Oryctolagus cuniculus: one gene and its partner. The protein of the gene in region 1 binds, or shares a complex with, the protein of each later gene. Links are inferred from orthologs where the notes say so. Each region holds a gene or a part of one and is shown on either strand. Other genes may lie near its edges.

Region 1 (5,476 bases):
AGTGCCTGAGTGCAAGGCCTCTGGGGGCTGCAATGGGCAGCTGCCAGGGCAGCGAGGAGAGGAGAGGCCAGGTCAGGGCCAGCTGGCCCGGGACACTGAGGGCTGCTCTTACTGACTGGTCCGTGGTGAGGGGGGTGTAGCCGGTCATGAGGAAGTGGAGCCGGGGCGTGGGGATGAGCGAGGCGATGAGGCCGATGAGGTCGTTGTTCATGTAGCCGGGGTAGCGCAGGGTGGTGGTGCTGGCTGACATGATGGTGGACACCTGGGGACAGGGGTGCTGTGTCATGGGCCTGGCCTGGGTAGGACCCCTCCCCCCTCCCCCGACAGTCCTCCCTCAGGGAGGACTTCCAGTGGGAAGGAGTGCAGAGGTGGGCTCACCAGCTGGTTGATCTGGGAGAAGGATGGGTTCTGGATGTGCAGGCGGTCCGTGGCTATCCGGTTCAGGGCTGTGTTGTCCAGCACCACCTGGAGGGGACAGACAGGGTGGCATAGACATGAAATATTGGCTGAGCACCTGCTAAGCTGTAAAGGCAGTCAGTAGCTTTGCTAGTTTACAAGGAAAGCATTCTTTGGGGGTATTATGAGTCCCTCTGGACAGTGCAGGGCAGTAAACAAATCTGTGAGTGTCCTCTGTGCCACACTTTGTGCCTGGGTCTGGAGTGACCACAGAGTGAAAACGGGCACGGTCTTGCCCTCGCCAGGCCTCCAGCCTAGTTGAGGGAGGCTGACATTGAATACAGAACAGAAAAAAGACGCTGTTAACCTGAAATATGACAAAGGAAGCTGACCTTGACTGGGTAGGCAGCGAAGTTTCACTAAGACAGTGACCCCTGAGCTGGAGCTGAAACGTGAGCAGGCACTGAGTGGGCTGAGTGGCTTATGTGGTGGCAGGGGGAGGCAGTCCCTGTGCTGGGGGACTGGCTGCCTAAAGTCACATAAGCACCCTGGAGGTTGCGACCTTACTTCGCAGTCCGACCACGGGTCTGGCTTTGGTGGTTCTTTTTGTGCTGGGCAGGGCAGGGCAGGCTGGCTGTGACTCAGGGGGGTCCCACAGCCCTCGACTCCCTCTTCTTTTGCTCACCACGCAGTCTGCGTTCTGAGTCAGCCGCTTGAGCGTGAGGAGCGAGTTGTAGGGCTGGACCACCACGTCGCTCATCTCGTCCTGGTTGGGAAACACTGAGTAGGTCTGCACCAGCTTCTTGGGGTACCTGAGGGTGAAGAAGAAGGAAAGGGGGAGGGTGGCACAGAGAAGCAACAGGACTTACCGGACTGCTCACTCTGTCTTCTGTGGGGACAATGGGCACCACGATTTTCGTGTGCCACCAAGCTCTTGTACAGTAGCAGGGTAAGGGCGGGACTCAGTCTTCAGAATGAACAGGATAAGCTGCAAGCATCAAACTCTAGATCTCCCCTGTCCCCAGGTGCCCCCCCCCCCAGGTGTTGGTTGCTGCCAAGGTTACCTGGGTGGGTCTGTCTCTAGGACTCAAAAGCAGTAGGGGCAGGCCTTCCCGCTCAGAAGGAAAAGGGGACCCGGGCTAATGCCCTCCTAACAAACACCGGCCTACCTGTCATTCAGCCGTTCCAGGAGGTAGGAGCCCATGCCAGAGCCGGTCCCCCCGGCAATGGAGTGACACAGCACGAAGCCCTGTGTGGGAGTGAAGGACAGGCAGTGACCAGGGACCTGGGCAGGGGGAGGGGGAGGCTGCCAGCTTGTCTCATTCCCCACCCACTCGCAACACACTCGTGCCTCAAGGCTTCCTCTGTGTCCGTCCAGGCCGAGGCTCCTTGGGAAGACTCAGGGCTTGGGGACAGGCTGAGGGATTCACACCCTCCAGGCTACGGCTTCCCTGAGAACAAGGACTGCACCTTATCTACCTCAAGATCCCAAACCAGATGCTCAACAAATGGGCCTGGAATTGGACTGCCACCATCCCAGGGCCTGCTCGGGCCACCGCCTGACCCCCAACACGCCGCAGCCCCTCTCCGCTGCACCCCACGGGAGCTGGGGAGAAGCTCACCTCAAGACTGTCGCTTCCGTCCGCTTCCCGGTCTATGATGTCGAAGATGTCCTCGTGGATCTTCTCACCCTGGACAGAGACATGGCAGAGAGTCAGGTCCAAGGTTCTCTGTTCAGCAACAAGAATTCCACAAGGGAGGGCGGCGGGGGAGGGCTTTGTGACCCCCCTGAAGCAGAGCTTCAGCTCTTGCCCTCAACGCAGAAATGATACTTTGTGACTTGTACAAAATTTGCATAAAGCTCTCCCTGGCTGTCCCTTTGTCAAAGCATCCCTTTATCTCTTACGTATCAGAAATCTGTTCTGGTCAAATTCCCAGGTTGCCTGAGCCTGCCTTGCCCCAGGGTGGGACTATCCAAGGGTCCCCGGCTTGGACACCTGGGAGAATCCCCTGGCCCAGTTGTTGCCAGCTCCTCCTCCGTGCTCAGCCAGGTAGATGTTCTCCGGGTTGTAGAGCTTGGCGTAGGGAGAGTTGAGGATGGAGTGGATCACCCGGGGCTCCAGGTCCAGCAGCACGGCCCGCGGGATGTAGTGCTCATCATCGGCCTGCCAGCGAGAGGCCGGGAAGGGGCGGCCCCGTCAGCCGGCGCCACCGCCGGCCCAGGCCCCAGTCCAGTCCCACTCGGGCTCCTGCCGGGCCTCCCTCCCCGAGCCAGCCGCGGGGCCCTGTGCCCAGCGGGCTCCCCAGCACCAGCCCCTGCCCCGTCCCTTCAGGCCCCCGGGGTCCTGGCCCAGCCGCCGGGGGCACCTGGTAGAAAAAGACGTCCTTGCGGTCCGTGCCCTCGGTGGCGAACTCCTCCACGATGCCCTCGGGGCTGATACCATGCTCGGCGCACAGCTGTTTCCAGAACTCGAAACCAACTGGGGAGAGGGGAGACGCCCGGGTCTGCGAGAGCCGAAAGGCCTGGGCAGCTCAGCGTCAGGCTCTGAGGCTGCCACTCTCGGAGCGTGCGCCCAGGACGCCGGCTCTGGGAGCCGTCACAGCCCAGGGCCTGCGTGGTCATGCGCAGTAGGGCAGGGGGTTCACGAGAGGGAGAGGGGACCCGGTGGGAACCAAGCACTCCCGTGGACCCCGAAGGGGCAGAACGAGAGAGTGGCGGGGCCCGGAGCTCGCTTGCTCACTCTGGTTGCCGCACTGGCCCAGCTGCAGGGTGATGATCTCCCGGGGCATCGCTCTGCGGACACGGGCCCGGCGGGAGTCACGGCCGAGACGAACGCCCGGCAGCCGGGCGCGCAGGACGTGGGCAGCGCGCGCTCCCCTCGCCTCTCGACGCGAGCGCTCGGTCTGCGCGTGTGCAGTGCGGGCGTCTGCTCCGCCGGCGGGCCGCGGAGCCCAACCTGGGCATCATTTTCCCCCATGGCAGGCGCAGCTGGAATTCGGCACAGGCGCAGAGCGAGGCCACGCCCCCGCCTGCCCACCTCTCCGCGCCTGCGCCCTGAGACTGGCGGGGGCTCGCAGGGTCGCGACCTTAGGCTGCGGGCAGGTGGGGAGAGGACGGCTGGGTGCACTAGGTAGTCCGGGTGTAGGTCCTGATGCCCTAAGGACTGTCAGCTCCGCTGGGGCCTGGGCTGGATCCAAGGCAACTTTCTTCCTTTAAATTTCTATTTTTCTAAAATTGTTTGACATACTCGTGCACAGCATAAAATCCATCATTTCAACAGTTAACAGACATTAAGTATACTCGCATTGTTCTGTACCCATCAGCACCCTCCATTTTCAGAGCATTTTCTCTTTCCCAAACTGAAACCTTACCCATTAAACAGCAACTTCCCGTCTTCGGCGCAGACCCTGGAAGTCACCATTCTTTCTCTATTAAAGCTGAATAATATTCCGTGGCATAGATACACCACATTTGTTTATCCACTCAAACCTCGGCGGACACTTGTTCCACCTTTTGGCCATTTTGAATAGTGCCCCTTTGGACGCGGGTGTACAGATATCTATTTAACTCCTTGCTTGCATACCCGGAAGTAGGATTGCTGATAACTGTGTCTAATTGAGGAATCGCCATACTCTTTTCCACAGCAGCTGCACAAGATTACGTTCCCACTGGCAGTGCTGAGGGGTTCCAGTGTTATCTCCAGCAACACTTGTTCCTCGCTAGCTTTTGATCATAGCCTGGGTGTGAAGTGGTATCTCTGAGGCTCTGTTTTACTCTAAATTACCGGAAAGGTGACATAGACAACATAATTTTATATTTTTACCATCTATTTTTGTGTTTTGAAATTTATATAAATGATACCAAAGTATAATATCAGAGAAAAGCAGCTTGCTTTTTTCACCTTACATTAGGGCTTTTTGTGATGTAGCCGTGTTAATATGGGTAGATTTAGTTCATCCCTTTTAACTGCTGTATTGTATTTCAGTGGACAAACAAAAGCAGTTTATTCTACTTCCAAACGAGTGGGGTTAGATTGTTCTCAATTAGTGGAAGGCCAGATGGGAAAGGGTGATTAACCGATACTAAGTTATAGTTAGACAGGAGAAAGGCATTCTGGTGTTGAATTGGCCTGTGGGGTGACTATGGATGACAGTAAAGTATTGTTTGCTTTCTTAAAAAGCTAGAACCCTCAAGAGCTGATAAATGTTTGCAGAGACAGATATGTTTTCTGTGGTTTGAACATCACACCATGTACGCGTTTGGAGATGTCACATAGTACTCCATACAATGCACAGTTTTGATGTTTTTTAAAGATTGTTCTCAATAACCCCCCACCACAGGGGCACAGGAGCTGCCTGCCTACGAACAGGAAGCGCCAAGTCTCTGTGGAGGCTTGCACAGCTTGGGGCTTATTCCTGACCGGCTGCACTCTTCCCAGCCCGAGTTGTTTCCCACAGGCGCACCTGCTCTTGGGCTGCCAGGTACTGGTTTTGTCAGTTCCACAGAGGCTGAAGGGGATCTGGAGGGTGGAATGCCCAGTCGCGATGCCGGGCGAGGGCCACTCGCTTTCCTTTTGGGGATGCCTCCTCTGGGACCTGCCCGTGGGTAGCCCTTGCCCGTTTATCTTAGACATTTGCAGTCAGTTCCGCACATCCACCCTTGGACAGCTTGCAGATATCACCTGGGCCTCGTCTTCACATCGAGAAGTGTGTCTTGCCACAGGGACGCTGTCAGTTTTACTGCGGACTTTCCCTTTGTTTCGAGAACTTAAGGAAGCCCCCACCCCACCCCACCCCGGCCCCTACTCGCAGTATCTTCCCTGCTTGCACAACAGTTTTCGCGTGTTCCCGGTAGGTCTCCGGGGCATCTGGAATTTATTTGAGATAGGGAGCTACTTTATTTCTTCCATATGCATGCTCGGAGCCGTCTCGGAACAATTACGGAGCAGCCGGCGCAGCGCCGCCCGCCCCCCCCCCGGAACGTTCCAGGCCGCGCTCCGAGGGGGGCCGGCCCTGGGAGCCCGGGAGGAGCAGGCCAGAGCGCCGCCGAGACTCCCGCTCGGACGCCGGCTCCGGCTTT
Region 2 (5,376 bases), on another chromosome or scaffold:
AAAAAATAAATCTTGATGAGGAATGGTATGGGAGCGGGAGTAAGAGGTGGGATGGTTTGGGAGTGGGAGGGTGGGTGTGGGGGGAGGAGCCACTGTGATCCAAAAGTTGTATTTATGAAATTTATATTTATTAAATAAAAACTTTCTATAAAAATAAGTTAAATAAATAAAATAATGCACTCTGGTAATAACTAACTCATTCCTACAGTACCCCAAACCAGCATGAATCCCATCAATGAGAGCAGTACCTGCTAATCTAATCACCACTTAAAGGTCCAGCTTCTTAATACTATTATAATGGCAATTAAATTTCAATTTTGGAAGGGATTTTTAAATCATTGCAAAGTATAGCCTCAAATAGGACCTTTTGTGCCACATCCAGATGTATCCCTGTCACATCTCTAGATATATCTCTTGACATTAGGAATAACCCAAATTGCAAAGGTAAATCAGGATGTTAATTTCAAACAAGTGTGAATAGGAATTGTACTTGAAGTAATAAAGCTTTTTACACAGAAGAAGAAGAATTGACTTGGGAGTTCATTTCTTCAAATAACAGAAATTCTGTTATTGGCCTTTTCTTTTTTAAGATTAACTTTATTTACTTGAAAGGCACAGTTACAGAGAGAGGAGAGACAGACATACTGAGAGAGAGAGATCTTCCGTCTGCTGGTTCACTTCCGAAATGGTGGAAGCCAGGAGCCTGGAGCTTCTTCCGGGTCTCCCACAGGGAAATTGAAAAGAAAGGGGGAAATAGTACTTTAGTATGATCAAGGACTAAGCACCAGTGAACAGAAAACTTGTTTCAGACTTTGTAAGGACTGTTTTGCCCCTGCTTCTAGAGTGTAGTTAAGACTCCAGGAGTCACTACATAAAGATAAGGGTATTTACCGGAGGTCTGCACTTTGGTGAGTTTGGATTCTCGTTTCTTTCTCACGCACTCTATGAGACTAGCAGAAGTTCCACTGAAACTTCTAAGACTCCATTCTCTCCGGAATTTTTGCTTCCCAAGTCTTGGATATTTTCAAAGTCTAAACTTGAATTTAAGTTTCCCTACCCCTTGACTTCTCTGTCTCATGGTAGGCTTCCTTTGTGGGCTTCTTAGGCTATTAGAAGTCTCTTGCCCATTTTGACTTGAGATTCAACTCATGTCCTCAGGTTTACAGTAACTCAAAGAATGTTAAGCTCACCTCAGTGAGCTGGTGTGTCATCATTTATTCCATTTTATTTATTTTAGTGAAGGCAATATTGCAGTTATGCATTTGAATGAATATTTTACTGTGGATAGTGAAAAGTTTAATAAGTTACAGATTTTTCATTAAAAGGAAAGTACAATACTAGCATGCACATTGAACCCTAAACTCGAAATACTGGATTTTAAGACTCAAAATGAAAAACTACATGAAGAAAGGCATTTACAAAACTCAATAATGTTTCTCATTTTACATTTATTTTCTCTTGTCTAACAAGCCTTTTCGGATGACTGCAAGTAAAATAAAATAGTGTCTTAAAAGTCATTCACTTATATTTGTTTATGAATATAATCAAAACACAGCTAGATGTGTAATTTCTGCCACTATAGATTATGAATCAGTTACTAACATAGAAGTGAACCCAGCTGCATACTCTAACCAGAGTGTTAGATGGCAAGTCAAGAATTAGCAACAAAATTTCTGGATTCCTTTCTTCCTTATGCCTTCATTTTCTTATTAGAAAGAATTACCTTTGAGGCTGGGATGGAGATATATATATATATATATATATACACATATATATATATATATATCAATGGAAGGTCCTGTGTAATTGTCAAGGAAAAAGGACTAATATTTTGAATTTTTTTATTTATTTGAAAGATAGAAAGAGATAGAGATAATCTTCTATCTGCTGGTTCACTGCCCAAATGCCCACACAGCTGGAACTGGGCCAAGCTGACATCAGGAGCTGGGTGCTCAGTCTGAGTCTCCCACATGGGAGGGACCAAATTACTTAAGTCGTTAACTGCTGTCTACCAGGATGCACAATAGCAGGAAGCTAGAATCTCAAGTGAGCCCAGACACAAACCCATGCACACCAATACTGTGTGCTTTCCAATTGTTGTCTTAACTGCTATGCCAAATGCCCAACCCAAGGGCTAATTTTTGATTTTTCTTTTGTTATTTGGAAACCCTAAGAATTTACTTCTCAAACCTCCAACAACCTGAAACAGGAACCCGGGCCCTAGCTGCTGTGCTCTGAAACCCATTGCTGCTTTTGTGCTTAAGACCTATTTCCCAAGGCTGTTCCTAGCCAGCGACTGAAGCCTACGCACCCTCTCAACCCCTGGAAGTCAAAGCACTCCCTCGTGAACTTGTTGAACCTTCCTTAGACTGTACAGCAATCAGGCATGACTCCACTTAACCTTCCTTGCCTCTGTTCCCCGCTGAGGATTAGAGTTGCACTGTGGTCTGTCAGCTTTCCCAGTTTTCCCTGGCTCTCTCCCCATTTTCTCTTACCAGAATCTCCCTTAATGAAACTGTTGCTTATTTGGCATCTGTTCTCAAATGCTCGAAACTAACATTCTCCTACTTTTTCTACAGCTAGATAGTGTCATACGAAATTTCTAAGGAGAAAAAGATGATTGCTATAACTTTACTGACAATATTCTTGTAGTACTAGATTTTTAAGATTAGGAGAGATAAAACTTCATGAAAATCTGCAGTTTTTCAGAATTTTTTTCTCATATTAGTTTATACTGATATTCTTGCTGTCAGAAGGTAGTAGTAGATCTATTTGTTGCATATATTTTGGTAGACCTTGCTTTCCTTTTACGTGATTTATTCAGGAGTATTTATTAGTGTTAAAATAATACTGTTTTTCTTTACAGAGTTACAGTGAAAGATTCGTTTTCATTGTGGAGTGGTATGATCCAAATGCTTCACTTCTTCGGCGCTATGAGCTTTTGTTTTACCCAGGGGATGGATCTGTTGAAATGGTAAATGCACCTTTTTTTTTTTTTTTTTTTTATGTGAAAGCTAGCAAAGGGGAGGCAGGTGGGATAGAGAAAGTTTTTTTTTTTTTTTATGCAGTTACTTTTTTTAAGATTTATTTATTTATTTGAAAGTCAGAATTAGACAGAGAGAGAAGGAGAGGCAGAGAGAGAGAGGTCTTCGACCATGTACTGGTTTACTCTCAACTGGCCGCAATGGCCATAGATGGGCTGATCTGAAGCCAGGAGCCAGGAGCTTCTTCTGGGTCTCTCACGTGGGTGCAGGGGCTCAAGGACTTGGGCCATCTTCTACTGCTTTCCCAGGCCATAGCAGAGAGCTGGATTGGAAATGGAACAGCCGGGACTCGAACCAGCATCCATATAGGATGCCAGCACTGCAGGCGGCAGTTTTACATGTCACTCCACAGCGCCAGCCCCTGCAGACTATAATATATATATATATGTTTGTGTTTATTTTATTGTTTTTGTATATTCATTATAGTACCATACAGGAATATAACTGTGCCTTTATTTTTAATGTCAAAAATAAGAATTTTTCTTAGAAAACTGAACTGGGATTATTCATGTTTTGGATTAAGCAATAATCAATAAATAGTTTAAAGATTATCATCATCACAATATGTTGCCATCATTGAAATATATTATGTCTACAAAAGTAAAATTTGAAGAGGACTGAGCTAAGAGGGCCCTGTTTATTTATTGTGATCCCTCATTGGAATTGCCTTCAATGAATGGGTATATTTGATGTTGCAATTTTGTGTACTTAAGAAAGCAGCAATTTGGACATGTGGCTATCTTTTTTTTGGGATTTGGTAGGCCCTAAATTACTGAATGATTTGGCTAAAAAAAATTCTTTTTGAAAATATTTAGTTGTAGGGCCAGTGCTGTGGCGCAGTGGGTTAACGCCCTGGCCTGAAGCGCTGGCATCCTATATGGGCGCTTGTTCGAGACCTGGTTGCTCCACTTCCCATCCAGCTCTCTGCTATGGCTTGGGAAAGCAGTGGAAGATGGCCCAAGTCTTTGGGTCCCTGCACCCGCTTGGGAAACCCGGAAGAAGCTCCTGGCTCCTGGCTTTGGATCGGCGCAGCTCCGGCTGTTGCGGCCAATTGGGGAGTGAATCATCGGATGGAAAACCTCTCTTTATCTCTGCCTCTCCTCTCTGTGCAACTCTTTCAAATAAAAATAAATAAATCTTTAAAAAAATTTAGTTGTAATAAGAGGTTTTTAAATTATTACTAGATTAGATCATGGAATCCAAAATTAAAATCAGGGAATTAAAAATTAGAATGTGAAAAAAATGGGATTTGTATTTGCTGCGAAGAAGAAATGGAATGTAACTTGTCTGATGGCAGAAAGGAGAATTTCCATCTTGTAATAAGATTAGCATTCCTATTGATAACTATTTTTTAATTATATTGCTGTTGGTTCTAGCATGATGTGAAGAATCATCGCACCTTTTTGAAGCGGACCAAATATGATGACCTGCGCTTGGAAGATTTATTTATTGGCAACAAAGTGAATGTCTTTTCTCGACAATTGGTGTTAATTGATTATGGAGATCAATATACAGCACGCCAACTGGGCAGTAGGAAAGAAAAGTAAGAAAACAATTTCGTAATTTGTTTTTCACTATTAAAACATTATGTGTAAGCCATGGTACCAATTTCTAATTTCCTGTTGCTGTCTTGTGTTTTCACAGTACAGAGATTTTTTTCAGTAATCTACTTCAATGTTGATGACATTTTTAGAAATTTTATTAAGTAAATTCTGTGATTTGTTCATCAGTGAGAATAACAAAGTGATATCCTCAGTCTTAGGCAGTGACTATTTCCTGGGGAGAAAAGTACAAAATTCTCATATGTTCCATCATTCATTCTTAGTAAAATAAATGTCATTTGGGAACTAAGAATATCTGAATATAAAAAAATCTTGGTGCTTAAGGTAAACTTGACTTATGGGGAAAAAAGTAGTGAGTATCAAAAGCTCAATAGAAACTCAAAAGAAATAAAAGATACTTCTTATGCAAAGCTTTGTGGAAGGTTTGACCTGCATCATAAAAAATGGATTGAATTGGCCGGCACCGCGGCTCAATAGGCTAATCCTCCACCTGCGGCACCGGCACACCAGGTTCTAGTCCCATTCGGGGCGCCGGATTCTATCCCGGTTGCTCTTCTTCCAGTCCAGCTCTCTGCTGTGGCCCAGGAATGCAATGGAGGATGGCCCAAGTGCTTGGGCCCTGCACCCGCATGGGAGACCAGGAGAAGCACCTGGCTCCTGCCTTCGGATCAGCGCAGTGTGCTGGCTGCAGCGCGCCGGCCGCAGTGGCCATTGAGGGGTGAACCAACAGAAAAAGGAAGACCTTTCTCTCTGTCTCTCTCTCTCACTGT

The links. The genes of interacting proteins can lie anywhere in the genome.
Region 2: TUBG2 (region 1) and NME7 share a complex: the UniProt entries of both Homo sapiens proteins name them as parts of the gamma-tubulin ring complex. The link is inferred for Oryctolagus cuniculus from reciprocal best matches to the Homo sapiens genes TUBG2 and NME7.

The regions. Positions count from the first base shown.
Region 1 is NC_091448.1:20,230,527-20,236,002, forward strand, and holds the start of TUBG2 (tubulin gamma-2 chain), read right to left. Parts: upstream 3,383-5,476; 5' UTR 3,187-3,382; coding exon 3,138-3,186; intron 2,877-3,137; coding exon 2,764-2,876; intron 2,562-2,763; coding exon 2,394-2,561; intron 2,088-2,393; coding exon 2,019-2,087; intron 1,646-2,018; coding exon 1,566-1,645; intron 1,209-1,565; coding exon 1,082-1,208; intron 466-1,081; coding exon 379-465; intron 263-378; coding exon 113-262; intron 1-112. UniProt on the Homo sapiens protein: Tubulin is the major constituent of microtubules, protein filaments consisting of alpha- and beta-tubulin heterodimers. Gamma-tubulin is a key component of the gamma-tubulin ring complex (gTuRC) which mediates microtubule nucleation.
Region 2 is NC_091438.1:29,400,784-29,406,159, forward strand, and holds part of NME7 (nucleoside diphosphate kinase homolog 7), read left to right. Parts: intron 1-2,733; exon of another isoform or gene 2,734-2,756; intron 2,757-2,866; coding exon 2,867-2,974; intron 2,975-4,420; coding exon 4,421-4,587; intron 4,588-5,376. UniProt on the Homo sapiens protein: Possesses an intrinsic kinase activity. Displays 3'-5' exonuclease activity with a preference for single-stranded DNA. Does not seem to have nucleoside diphosphate kinase activity.